Linked DNA regions of Danio rerio. The protein of the gene in region 2 purifies or fractionates together with the protein of the main gene of each other region. This does not show direct contact. Links are inferred from orthologs where the notes say so. Each region holds a gene or a part of one and is shown on either strand. Other genes may lie near its edges.

The links.
Region 1: the proteins of kifbp (region 2) and kif14 purify together in Homo sapiens (affinity purification with mass spectrometry; 3 studies listed by BioGRID and IntAct, counting the BioPlex papers as one, with this or other methods). This does not show direct contact. The link is inferred for Danio rerio from reciprocal best matches to the Homo sapiens genes KIFBP and KIF14.

The regions. Positions count from the first base shown.
Region 1 is NC_133197.1:22,319,809-22,326,334, forward strand, and holds the end of kif14 (kinesin-like protein KIF14), read left to right. Parts: intron 1-1,693; coding exon 1,694-1,759; intron 1,760-2,597; coding exon 2,598-2,739; intron 2,740-2,831; coding exon 2,832-3,142; 3' UTR 3,143-3,537; downstream 3,538-6,526. UniProt on the Homo sapiens protein: Microtubule motor protein that binds to microtubules with high affinity through each tubulin heterodimer and has an ATPase activity. Plays a role in many processes like cell division, cytokinesis and also in cell proliferation and apoptosis.
Region 2 is NC_133188.1:26,243,376-26,251,268, forward strand, and holds the start of kifbp (KIF-binding protein), read right to left. Parts: upstream 5,164-7,893; 5' UTR 5,151-5,163; coding exon of another isoform or gene 4,704-5,150; intron 4,601-4,703; coding exon of another isoform or gene 4,502-4,600; intron 4,423-4,501; 5' UTR 4,372-4,422; intron 535-4,371; coding exon of another isoform or gene 455-534; intron 366-454; coding exon of another isoform or gene 359-365; coding exon 182-358; intron 1-181. UniProt on the Homo sapiens protein: Activator of KIF1B plus-end-directed microtubule motor activity. Required for organization of axonal microtubules, and axonal outgrowth and maintenance during peripheral and central nervous system development.

The DNA.
Region 1 (6,526 bases), on a different chromosome or scaffold from region 2:
GAATTGAAAAGGCATACACCTGTCTAAATAAGGTCCAAGGGTTGACAGTGCATGTCAAAGCACAAACCAAGCATGAAGACAAAGGAATTGTCTGTAGACCTCCGAGACAGGATTGTCTGGATGCACAAGGCTGGGAAAGTTATAGAAAACTTTCTGCTGTTCTGAAAGTTCCATTGAGCCCAGTGGCCATCATCATCCGTAAGTGGAAGATGTTTGGAACCACCAGGACTCTTCCTAGAGCTGGCCGGCTATCTAAGCTGAGTGATTGGAGGAGAAAGGCCTTAGTCAGGGAGGTGATCAATAACATGATGGTCACTTTGTCTGAGCTCCAGTGTTCTTCTGTAGAGAGAGGAGAACCTTACTTACAGAAGAAAAACAATCTCTGCTGCAATCCATCAATCAGGCCTGTATGGTAGAGTGGCCAGAAAGAAGCCACTCTCTACCTGGAATTTGCCAAAAGGCATCTGAAGGACTCTCAGATCTTAAGAAACTAAATTCTCTGGTCTGATGAGATTAAAGTTGAACTTTTTGGAGTGAATGCCAAGTGTTAGGTTTGGAGAAAACCAGGCACCGCTCATCACCAGGCTAATACCATCTCTACAGTGAAGCATGATGGTGGCAGTATTACGTTGTGGGGATGTTTTTCAGCAGCAGGATCTGGAAGACTAGTCAGGATAAAGGGAAAGATGAATGCAGCAATGTAGAGACATCTTCAATGATAACCTGCTTCAGAGTGCTCTTGACCTCAGATTGGGCCGACGGTTCATCTTCCAACTGGACAATGACCCAAAACACCACCAAAATATCAATCGAGTGGCTTCACAACAACTCTGTGAATGTCCTTAAGTGGCCCAGTCAGAGCCCAGACCTAGATCTTATTGAACATCTTTGGAGAGTTCTGAAAATGGCTGTACACCGTCGCTTCACATCCAACCTGATAGAGCTTGGGAGGTACTGCAAAGAGGAAAGGGAAATTTCTAAAGACAGGTGTGCCAAGCTTGTGGCAAGATATTCAAAAAGACTTGGCTGTAATTGCTGCCAATGGTGCATCAACAAAGTAGTGAGCAAAGAATGTGAATATCTCCGTACATGTGAGTTTTTAGGTATTTTATTTTTTATAAATTTGCAACAATTTAAAAAAAAATCTTTTTTTCACTTTGTCATTATGGGCTATGGATACTTTCTGGATGTACTGTAGTTCATTTACTGTGGTTAAATTATAAGCTCTCTTGTGATTTTTATTTTTTAAAACAAATTCAAAGGCTAATAATTTTGCTTTTAACTGTACATAGTTTTATTTTCTTGTGGTAAACAAACAAAAAAATGTAGACTTTTTTTGTAATGAAAAGAACAGTTGGATTCTCACCCTGTAATTTAAGGTGGTGATGCAACAGTATACTACAGCATGTGTTTGCATTATTTTACAATAATTCAATGTGCTGGAGTCAACTATTTTACCAATACCATGGGTGCCTTTAGATTTATTTGATTTGATTTTCGACAATTGTAGGTTGTGAAATTATCATTCTGTTTGAATGAATTATCATTCAAGTCATTCTGTGTAGTGATATAGAACTGTAATTTGGTCAAGACCTGTCTAGAACTACTTTAGCAGTGGATTTATCTTTATTTTAATTGATATTGATGTACACTTCAGCATAGTTGTATAAGTTGTCATGTTTTTGTTTTACAGCTGCAGATCTCTAAATGGATGGATGTGGCCCGCTCTCTCCAGAACTACCTTCGCTGCTGTTTGTCGGTGCGTCTCACAAACAGCTGTTGTTGTCATTGAGGTTAACACGTTTGGATTAATGACCGAGTGGGATGCCGCTTGTAAAACGTCAAACCAAAGCGCTCTTATCGCATGTCTTGGGTCGTTTCGTTGTTTAGAAAATAAATAGATTGAGTGGAGTGTCGTCTGTCACCTTAATGTGGCTGTAACTGTTATCTTCAATACACAAACTACAGGCTCACCGTTATTGTTCTGCTAGAGAATGGGATGCTGGGATAAGGAGAAATGAATGTGTCCCACATAATCGCTCATTTTTTCAAACCTACAGTCCTAAACTGTTTGGGCAAAAGCAAATAAGAAACCCATATATATTGGGGAGTTTGTTTATGTTGTTTTTACATATGATATGCTAAATTACAATTATAATATATAATATTTGTAGGTTTGATGTAGTTTTGTTTTTTTTTTGTTTTCGTTTTATTTGTTATTTTAGAGGTTGTTTGATTTGGAGGGATTTTTGTGTTTTTTATTGGAGATTGGGGAGTTAAAGTTGTGTGCTTATTATTATTATATATATATTTTTTACTTATTTATATTTGTTAAGCTTAGGGGCAGCTTTTTTGGTTGGGTGAAGTTTGGTGTGTTATTGATTATTATTTAGTTTGGTATTATAATCTCTTGCCTGTAGAAGTGGTAGGTGTTTTTTTTTTTTTAGTTTAAAGTGTGTATGCTTTTATTTACGTATGTAAATATGTCTGTGAGTGTCAGTTTATTTATTTATTTATTTATTGTTTAACTGTTTTAGTATGGTTTTTGTGTTGTGAACTTTCCCTCTAAGAGATGTTCTACATCTTCTCTTTCACAGAAGAGCTCAGACTCCTCTGAGAATCATTGTGTAGATTATGAAAGCTCAAACTTGTATGACATTCAAAGCACCACTACCAAACTCCTCAAGCTGAACCAGGCTATCAAAGATCTGCATTCGTCTCTGTCACGGTTTCTGAAGGGTAAAGTATTTTACATTGCCGTATTCATACACCAAACCCTTCACAGTTACAGCAAATATGACATTAGTTCACTTTATTGATGTACATTACAGGTAGGAGAAGCGACACTTCCCTTAGTGAAGCGATACAGTCTTCATCCCAGACTATTGATAAAATCATCAGCAGCCTTCCTCATGAAATAACAGGACATTCAGATGGTCTTCAGCTTCAGGATGACGTTCAATCAGCGCTCCAGGCTTTGCTAGCAGTGTTTTCTAACAGCACCGATGAAATTCAGAAGCCGACCACAGACAGACACTTTGTTCAATCAGGTTACAGCAGCAGAAATCGAACCGTCCCTAAAGTTGTGTATTCTCTTTCCTCAGGCATTAGCACATGCTCCAGAGACGCCCGATGGGTGTGATTTAGTTAAGTATATAATGATTTTTGGCATAACTGCAAAATTGTTATGTATATTCTGTTGTTTACTGCACTCATACTGGTCTACCATTGTTTGCCTACAAATTTTGTCTGATTTCTTTGATGGATTTTAATGAAGGGCTTAATGGTACAGCTTATGAAAAGAGGTTTCTGTGTATTTTGTATTATCAAGCATTATCAAAGCATTATAAAAGCTAAATGAGAAAACACTTCACTTTCTGGATATATTTTGCACTTGAAACTTTTGCACAGGCTTTGTCACAGCTGTTTTTCTACACATGGAGATGTGAGTTTTAGCATTTGTAGCAACATGTACTCTGGATCATGTAATTGTTTGATAATAATTTATACTTTCAGTAATAAACACTCACTTGGAACGAGGTCTGGTGTCTTGATTAAACTTACTACATTTCTTTACCATCCTTAAAGTAACTAGAGGTTTCTTAAGCGACTTAAGATTGTAAATATGGTTGGTTCTTAAATCACTATAAGGCTTGGCTTCTTATCTGTCAGACCTGTTGACTGATCATCAGCCTGGTCAAACCAGAGATTACATTCTAAAAACGTTGAGTAATTTATTTAACCCAATGGATGAATTAAAAATATTTGCTGCTTTGTTGGGTTATTTTTTAACCTTTATTGGGGTATTTATTAATAACAAATTGGGTTAAATATTTGGTGCTTTGTTGTGTTATTTTTTAACCTTTATTTAGTTATTAATTTAGTTACTCAACCAGTTGGGTTAAACAGATTTAACTGATACAGAACAGCTGTATTAATATGCATACGTTATGTTGTTTTTGCATTTTAAAGTTTATTTAAGCTCTTAACGCAATAAGTTATTTTTTTTTAGCAAATTATCTCTCCGTGTCGTGTAGTGTTTTTTTTTTTAAATATATATCTGTTTCACCAGCACTCTTATTATTGATGATACAACTGTGCAATTCATAGCCAATCTATATTAAATCATCTACAGTTTTTTTTATTAGAAGCTTTTGAATGTGGTTTAAATGTATTTGTACTTAGTGGACACTGAGTGAAGCCTGCTGCAGCTGCTGGACAGTCTCTACAGCACACAGAACTCTATATTCTGCTCCATCAGCACATGATTTTCTGCTTGCAGTTGCTGTCTGTACTTTGTTCTGTTTTTTCATTGCTTGTGATTTTTGAGTTTAACAAAGTGTCTGGAACTTAAAATGTAACGGAAATAAAGCATTTTCAATATTTTTTAAATTATGTTATTTATTTACAAAGCCATAATTATGACGTTAATATAGCCCTAGTTAGTAATGGTAGCAATAGTAATACCAGAATGAAAAAAATAACATTTAATGAAAATACCAAAATGCATTGGGTTAAAAAAAACCCATAGAAGGTGCTATAATAACCTATAATTGGGTTATATCTTGGGGTATTTTTAACCCAACTATTCCCAGACAGCACACATACGTTGGGCCGACGTCGGCCGAAGGTCAACACGTCGGCCCCTTTAATTCTAACATCGGTATATGGTCGGCCAAACATACGCATGATCGTTCGGTCGTGTGTTCTATTGTTCCAGCTCAACAAACGTCGGCTCTGCATCGGTTAACGACCAGAGGCCGACGAAGCACTTCATAAGCACTTTATCTCTCATGCCCATGAAGGAATCCGGCAACATATTTGGTTTACAAGTAAGTTTTTGCGTGCATAATAAATTAGACAAACGCGACATGCATCATGTCTACTGCGTCGGTCGGTCCAGCTTTAAATAGCCTACAATAATACAGTAAAACTGACCAAAATGCCTACAATACATGATTTCAATTAATTAAAATATAAAAAGTTTTGTTGTTATGCTTAAATAATGAAAACGTTGTTTTTTTTCTGGTGTTAACTGCTGTTTGCTTTTTTTATTGTGGCTTTTTCTAATACATTTTTCCCAGTGTAAAAATGTTCTGCATGTTCGGCTGTTTAATTAAAATAAACACCTTTTTACAGAGTGACATCTTTGTTTTATATATACTTGCATTTATATTTATTGGTTATTTATTTTTGACAGTGAATCTGATGCACAAATAGGCCTAAGTGTTTGTTTTGTAACAGTTTAGTAGGCTATAAAGCTCGTCTTAAAGATAATAGCGTATATAAAACTACTAAATACATTTTTAATTCAATATATAAAATACAAGGTTATTATTTAAATAGTCTATGGAGTGATCATGTTTATAAATGTAATACTGCATGACTTTGATGTGCGCGCGCGCGTCTCATTCCAACACTGGAGCGGAGGGGATGTTGCTATGGGAAACGAAGCTACAACACGACACGACACCACCTGAAAGACACAACACGACTTCTCTCAAGCTGCCGTTTTGACAGTTTTCAGGTAAGTTTAGTCCCTAAAACAAAGCAAATACTACATAAAACTGTTCCTCACACTTTTATTATTGGCAATTGATGAATATTCAGTTGAATATTATGTTATATAAGAGTGGTAAGTCTTCGTAAAAGTCCGTTAGCATATTAGCACTGGTAACGTTAGCGTCGGGGTAATATTACGTTAACTTACTTAATGTTAGCTCTTGTTAAACTTGTTTGTTAAAGTTTTGGCTTTTATTTATTCTTTATGTGTAGATGAAAGGTTTTGTCAATGTTTTATTGAATGCACTTAATATGTAGTCTAAAATACGCATTGTTACGTTACTGTAAAGGAACGTGAATCAAAAGTTCAATCGTGTTTTGATATTTCATGGTATCTTAAACAAATGTTAAGTAAAAAAGTGTTCTGTGGTTTCAGGAGTGAGAGAATAACCCCCTGCTACAGAAAATATAACACAAGATTCCTAAATTTCTGAAGGGAGCTGATCACAGAGATGCAGAAAAGACAGGTAACTTTAAGCAGAGGATTAATTCATATGAATTTCCATTGCACATCATAATGCACATGTTACATGTCTATATATTATGCATCTGTTACTTGTCTTTATTGCAGTTATTTTAAGATAGTTTTGACATTGAAACATGTTAGTGGTATTAAATTTCACATCACATGATTCTTCAGAACTTAGTAAATATGCAGATTTGCTGCTAATGAAGTAATATTTGTGATTTTCATTTTGTTTAATTTTTTATGATTAATTGATTTATTAAATCTTAGAAAAAAGTTTACACTAAATTATTTGTCATCACATCTGTTTTTAGCATTGATAGCAATCCGAAATGTTTCTTGAGCAGCAAATCAGCACCATTTGATAATCACCATTATATTAGTTCAACCTCAAGCACTAAATCAACATCTTAAAAAAAGATTTCTGAAAGATCAAGTGACACTGAAGACTTGAGTAATGATGCTGAAAATTTAGCTTTACATCATAGCTATGAATTA
Region 2 (7,893 bases):
AATGTGGTATTTTTGCTTTAATTAATTTACAGTAAGATACATAGATTATACAGGAAATAGTTAACCATGTAAGCATGTTAACAAAACTGATCTGAAGCGAATAAGATACATAAACTCAATGGACCACACAATTGCTAATTACTGTAATACTTCTTTTAATCAACCTGTATATGAATTGTACCTTGGTGATGTAGTACTGTGACAGTGTGGCTGCATTAATGGCCCACTCCAGAGGCGCAAACTGCTTGTACTCCAGCTGTCTCTGTAGGGTGCTGTGACAGTACTGTGCAGCTCTCTCATACTGCTGCAGATTCTTGTACACTTGAGCCAGGTAATACAGCGTGTGCGTATATGCCATTTCAAACCTATTCGGCACATATGGGGAAAACGTGGGGTTAAAATACTCCTGGTTCATAGTCATTTTATTGAGTATATTTAAAGAGAGGGATGTTACCTTCTAATCTTCTCTTGTTGGGATAATTCTTCTCCTTCTGGCACAAAAAAGTCTTGAAGATCCAGGGGTGGTTGACCATCCTAATGTGCATAAAGCAAACAAAACACAAATCTCATATCATTTACTGATACCCATAGAGAGACAAAAATGGCTATTAGTGCCCTGTGATTTTTGTGTTGTAGAAAATTAGGGTAGAATCACAACAATTAAAAGTATTAAATGGAAAAACATTCAATTGTTATAATTGAATTTTTGTTTAAACTAAATCAGGGGTGCCCAAACTTTTTCCTATAAAGGGTCAAAAACAAAACTTGACTGAGGGTTGTGAGCTAAAAATATACCAACCTGTGTTACATTAAACTTGCCAAGGGGAATTGCCTCATTTATTCGATAATATAAACAAAAGATAACGTTGATTCGAATTGTATTTAATATCTAATGCAGCATTGTTTTTAACATTTTATAATAAGCTATTTACAGTAAAAACATAAACATTTCCATTTATAACACAATGGAGCTCAATGTTGAATACACTAGTTGAGCTGCACCTGCCTTTACTTTGATATGCTCGTAGATGTCAGATGTACTGTTTGTCAAGTGACAATATTTACTTTTTAAAAGTCTAATTCATTTACAACATTTAATTGAATCATTTAACTTCAGTTGCGTTTTTTGTAGCTCAGGAATTAAACTAAGAAACAAAAGATTACTTTAAATTTAAATTTCAAAATGACGACATCTGTCAAGGACATTCGCCCCAACCACCAACATTCTCCCTCTCTTTTCAGATGGGATGGCGGGCCGAATCAAAGGTTACCTTGTGCCAACTTTGGGCATCTCTGTACTAAATGATTGTTATTTGGTAAAATAAATATAACAGAATTTAGGGAAAATAATTTTAAAGAGCTATATGGAAAAAAATCTAATTGTGTATTATATTAATATTTAATGAATACATTCACAAATAGACCAAAAAGCTCATGCAGCTACATTCAGCCCATATCGTTGAGTGAATCAGACATTATTATAGAAACCTCTGTAATATGAATTATAAATATGCATGGTAATAAAAGCTATTTTTAAAAATGTAAATGTACTCCAATTTGTGTATCTATGCAAAATTCAGTGCTGTTTACTTTAGTTTTGTTAGAATTAATTGTCACGCCAATAAGAAACGAGCAACTACGGCATATCGATAATTAATTAAAAAAAAAAAGAAAACTGAGTCATGGAATACTGTAAATTCACATAAAATCAATATATTACAAAATATTGTATCTAAAGATACAAACAACATCTTACAGTTTTATTTTTTGTTTTGATTGTGTATATTGCTTTTAATTATTAAAATTATTTCCACATTACCATTTTAATATGACTTACCTTTCTCCTTTATTAAAGGTGTTTAATATAGTGGTTATCAGCTTCAGTCTTAGTAACCACTCAGCACATTTTGTTCAGTTTATAGAGCCAAAGCCACTGGAAAACGTACCTGCCTCCCTTTGCCAAGATCAGCACAATAGCTAAAGCTACTGCTCTGCCATTACTCAGATCTGCAGCAGCTAATCTTCAACATGTCTACCCTTTAAACATAGATTTGATTGATCTATTTATACTACTATTTTTATACCTTCTACTGTTTTGTTAGTCACTAGTAATTTTGTGAAAGAGAAGATATAGTGTATGTCACTTATGATTTCTATATTCTCCGCTAATAGTAACTGACTCTCACAATATCAACGAAAATTCAACAGACGTTAAGCAAGGTCCCAAATCATCCCTCACCAGTGTTGCCAGATTGGGTAATTTCCTGCCCAATTAGGCAGTTTGTATTTGATTGTGCAGGTAAAAGAAAAAAAATTTTTGACAAAATTTGGGAGGTTTAAAAAAATATAACTTTTATATGCAACTTTAATATTCAACAAAACATAACTGTGTGCTCCTACTCCGTTCAGTTAGTAGTGACTGGTGCATAGTGCAAGCCGAGTGGGCCCACCCGTAAGAGGAGGGGAAAGAAAGTCCAAGGACAAATCTGACTCGCCTTCGTGTGCACACGCATTACGCAGCGCCTGCAGTTAAACTCACAGCACTTTATCATAACACTTATATCGATCTTTTTTTCCACAATTGACAGCAAGAACAAACACAGAAGCATTGTCTGATTGACAAGCAGCCCCTAAATATGTTCAAAAGGATTTAAAACACCAAATAGGACAAATTTATACCCCATTTCGTAAAAACATACTCTAACATTAAGTGCAGTGCAGTGTGTGGGTGAGAAGGAGGCAGTGTTTCGATGTGATCCAGTTATGTTTTGGTTCTGTGACTGCAGGTGTTGGTTGCTGTATGGTTAAAAATTATGACAGTTAAAGTAACCAGGTTAATTTCGATTTAAATTAACTAAAATAAAATAAAATATTAATATAATATTTTGGGAGTTTTATGTGCATTTCCGACAGCTTTTGAGCTGGAAAAATCAGCTTTACCTGGCAACACTGCCCCACATCATTAGGGCTGAATGGGCTGTATGCACAGCTAGTGTTTTTCAGCTAATGATGAACTTCTGATGACAGGTTTATGTGACTATTTTCAATTTCATAATTAATTCAAATATAATCAGTTTATTAGACTTAAGCATTCATTTGGTTGTTAATGCATAAAAAGAGACTGTTTAAACGCAGGTGCCTTCATTAGCAGCAGGCCAGCACAGATGCTCCATTGAAAATACTGGGGTAAAATTAATTTCCATATTTTAAAGACACGGTGTGGTAAAAATATAATTAAATGCAGTGCTTCTTTTTTGGTCGGATACCCATTTTATATCTTATCTCAGCTAGGCATTGAAGATCGTTGTTTTTTAAAGATATCAGATCTTTAACACTGCAATTTTGTATGGGATGAAAATTCACCAGAAGCCCTGGGGCTGACTGAAATTAAAAGTTTGTGTGCACATACCCCATCTGAGTAAACAGACAGTAGGTGCGTCCCAAATCACATACTTTTGCACTATTCTACGCCATTTTGTAGTAGAAATAGTGTAAGTAGTGCGTTCACACTGAAAACTCTAAAAATAATAAGTGCGCTCTAATTACTCGGATGATGCACTTATTCAACAGATAAAAGTAGGTGTGTAATGATGGACACTTCACGCAATTCACAGTCGCTGCCTTACTTATGGTAGCGGGAGGGGCGGAGCCATCGGAGGCACATGTTGGATATATTTATTTTGGATTATGAAAGCAAAATTCTCCTCTGAGAGAGATTATACCACCTCCCGATAGTGAATGAGGTTATACTCACGGCAGGTATTATGTGGTTGTTTGGTCATTTATTTGGAAACCGTCAAACTTCATCAGGGAAGCGGTTTGAATTTCTGCGTAGTGTTTCATTTGGGACGACACTACATACATATACTATGCTGTTGGAAGTGTAAGTGCATAAGTACATAGTGCATAAGTGCATAGTGTGCCATTTGGGACGCAGCTAGTGATTATCAAGTGCACTCATTCAGTCCCACAATGCACTGCAATAGTGTACACTTACAAGGTTGTGCATCTTGACAGAAGATGGCGCCCAGAGCTCATTCCAGTAGATCCATTTTAATTGCTGGTCCACTGTGGGTACAGCTAAATATCATGAAGCCATAATTTCTGATTCAAGTTGTTATTAAATAGTTTAATTTAGATTTACACATAGATAAATCTAATCAATACAGCTGGAGCTCCCAGATTACCAAATTTCACTCATTCAAGTGTGAAGGCTGTGCCAGGCTCTTGCTGTGCTAAAGATTTAGGTAAGGTTTTCAGTGTCAGTGGTTGCTAATATGATTTTCACTATTGAGAATTTGTAAACAATATTTTTTTGTTAAATATTATTAAGGAGAAAGTCCGACTGTGTGAATGTAAAACTAACTTTACCTCAATACGTCATAGCAACGTCATGTGGAACTCGCATCTGACGCTCTGCATCTGCAGTTGTTGATGGTAAGGAAGACTTTGACAGCTGAAGCTCACACGCATCACAATCAAACAAACACGCATAACACACCTCTTTCATGTAGACCAAATACATCGTTTCGGCAATCTCCAGAAATCCTTGTGCTTTTTCAATCTCATCTCTTCCCGCCCACAAAATGCCGAGCTGATTCTGTCAAAAACACAATCGTCATACGTCAACCAGCAAGAGAAGCACGTTTATTGAGTCATACCAGGCTTTTTAGAAAATAATAATCCATGTAGTGTGAATTTACCCGGACATGTATAAATAAGGAGACGTTCTCCCGTGTTGTGGTGCACTTGTCAATGAGCTTCATGCAGACCATGAGGTGCAGCTCTCCAGCCGACAGCTCCTCCGTCTCTATGTGGTTCACGCCGAGATGATATTGCAGCACCGCGAGCCTGGCCGCTCTCAGGCCGGCTGCAGAGTCTCCAGTGAACGTTTTCTCAAAACCATCCTCCGGCTCACCATCCGCCGTTTGGCTGGACTCACAGTCCGCTTCATCCCCAGCCTCGCCCTGCTCCTCGATTTCAATCTTTTTCAAAGAACAGTGGATTTCCTTCAGCAGATCTCTGGCTTTGTATTTCGATCGGAAAGGGTTATTCTCTGGGTCTTTTTTCGACTCTATTTCGGAAAGCTCTTGGGCAAGGCGAAATTTCTCGCACACGGCCCTCCACTCGATACTGTTGTTGGCAGCCATGTTTCCCTCTAGCAATAAATAGTGTTCACCAGCAGAGGTCAGTCCCGAGACACAAGCAACGCACAGCTAGTAGTTTTAGTTTACTTTAGTTACTTGTTTATTTAAAATATCATATTAGTTACTGATTCATTTAAAATAGCATATGAAATGATCTCATCATAAAGTCTCGATGTGACTAGTACTTATTATGTGTCTGTTATTATTGGCTGGATTTACTTTCCGACTCTCTGTTCTTTCCAGATTCTCTGGCTCCATCTACAGGTCAATGAAAGTCAGAGATGTAAACAAACAGGCTTCCTGTGGGGTGTGAGTTGTTGGCGGATGTGGCAGGTGAAGTACTTTATACATGGGCTTGTTCCAGTACCCACATTTGCGGTTTTTCCTCCGTGTGGTCAAAATATCTCAAGTGTAAAGTCCCCGTGTTACTTAGAAATAACAGATTCTGAACCATCTAAAACAAGTTGTCAGTAATCTAATTAAAGCAATGTCTAAATTACTTCCCTATACTGGGGGAAAATAGCCTAAATAAAATTCTCTTAACCATGTTCTGTAAAATGCAAATTATGTGGAAGTAACGTTGTTTCTTAATCTTTGTCACTTGAATGTTTTATTATGTTTAACTGTGTGTTTAAAAGTTTACTTATTCACCACCAAAGTAAGCCATGCTTTAAAGTGTATCCTTAACATTTAAGTAAACAACAGTAGTTTTTTGTTATTGTCTGTAGCCTATTGTGCCATAGATACACAGCAGCTATTGTGCCATAGATACACAGCACTCACAACATAAGTGACCTAAATTAAACACAGACCTCAGTACTTGGTACAACACACAATAATGAAACCGTCATGTTTTTTGCAGTGTGAAGGAGTTTTTTTTTCAATAGAAAATTAAGCCCATAAGTAACTACATATAAGAAAAAAGTAAATAATTGGAAATAATGAAAATGGCTTAATGTATGATTAGAACATCTTTGCTTAAAAGTATTTTTTTGATATTTAAATGAATCATTACAAACAGTGAAGTGATGCAACTGATGCCTGTAGGTTAGATGATAATGATAACTATCAAATCTATTCTGCATACTCCACATTCATATAACAGCTACATACTTTTTAACGTGTGCTTAAAATAAATACCTGCTAAAAAGTGTCATGAACCCCCTTCTTTCTAAAGTCTATGGTGGAGTGCTGTGAGCAGAAGGGAGGAGTGGGCAGAGCAGGGAAAAAAGAGGGGGTGTACAACTGTCAGTTGGCTCAATAACAATTCTGACACAAAACATGAGATGGCATGATTTTGTTGTTTACAAAGTTAAAATGCAAAAGAAATAAACAGTATTTAAATGCCCGGTTACATGTATGATATACTGTTTGTAATTTCATATAATATATCTACATAACCACAATTTGTTCTATTATTATAATCATGTTTATATAAACACTATGCATCCCAGAGATGGGTTGCGGCTGGAAGGGCATCCGCTGCGTTAAACATGTGTTGGATATGTTGATGGTTCATTTAGCTGTGGCGACCATAGATTAATAAAGGGTCTAAGCTGAAAAGAAAGTGAATGAATGAATAAGTAAATAAACACTATAAATAATGAGGACTTCCCTTCTGCTGAATCCCTAGGTCTAGAGCAGTACAGTAGCTTACAGCAGGTCTCATTCACTATCTATTCCAACCTTTAGCCCTGGCTGGAAATGTAGTGGATTTTAAATATAGTCGAACACAGCAGCATGGTGATGTGTCTGAATGGTAACAAACCTAACTGATAAAAGTCAAAGTCTGCCACTCTCCCATTCTCGTACAGCTCTCCGGACAAAAAGGCTTGCTAGTTGCTACACACAAACAGGTTGGCTGTATCAGTAGCCCTGACACCATTGCAGGGAATGCCATGCAACACACCTCATGGGTCATGGAAGCAGACACAACTTTTTACAACCATTTATATACTGCGTGCCATTCGTCGTCTCACAACTTGGCAGGTCTGTCCATAAAGCATGTGCGGTCATGAATAATTAAGAAGCAGGGTCTTCTCATAGCGTAAGAAAACTCTATGAATAATATTGAGAAACCAACATGTCATCCCTGGACAGACAGATCCTCAGACAGGTGCATTATCACAGATTTTCATCCCGCCCCGATAATGATTTTAAACCCAGAAGATGAAATTAGCTGACAAAGGCTCAAAATTTTCCAGTTTTTCCCACAATTAAAGCGAACTGGTGCCAACGTTGTCTTAATGATGCTCAACACACACAACTCTGTTACAATCTCAAAAAAGTACTCGAGGGTTTCTTAAACCTTTAAAAGAGTGGGAGAGCTCAGACACTTCCTACACGAAATTGTGTAGGTTTGTCACAATTTAGGATAATGCCCAACTGTGGTCCTCATTGGCTGCCTGGTTATGTCTGTTTCAACCTTCAAACACTGTAGTTACTTGAGATGTTAAAACTGACAACATCATTACTCTCATATCACTATTTAAGAAGGCTGGAAAGAAGCTGAAATTCCACCATAGTAATGGACATTTGGTTTCCAACATGCACCTTAAGCCCTACAGAATAGCCCCTTTCACACATGCACACTTTTACTGAAAAATACCGGTACATTGCCAAAAAAAGATCACGTGTGAACAGGCCCTTTTGAAAAAATTAAATAAAAACAGGAAATTAGTTCTGGCAATGTGTGATGGTGTGAGATGTCTAGTCTGGGCCAATCAAACAATCTGATGCTGATGAT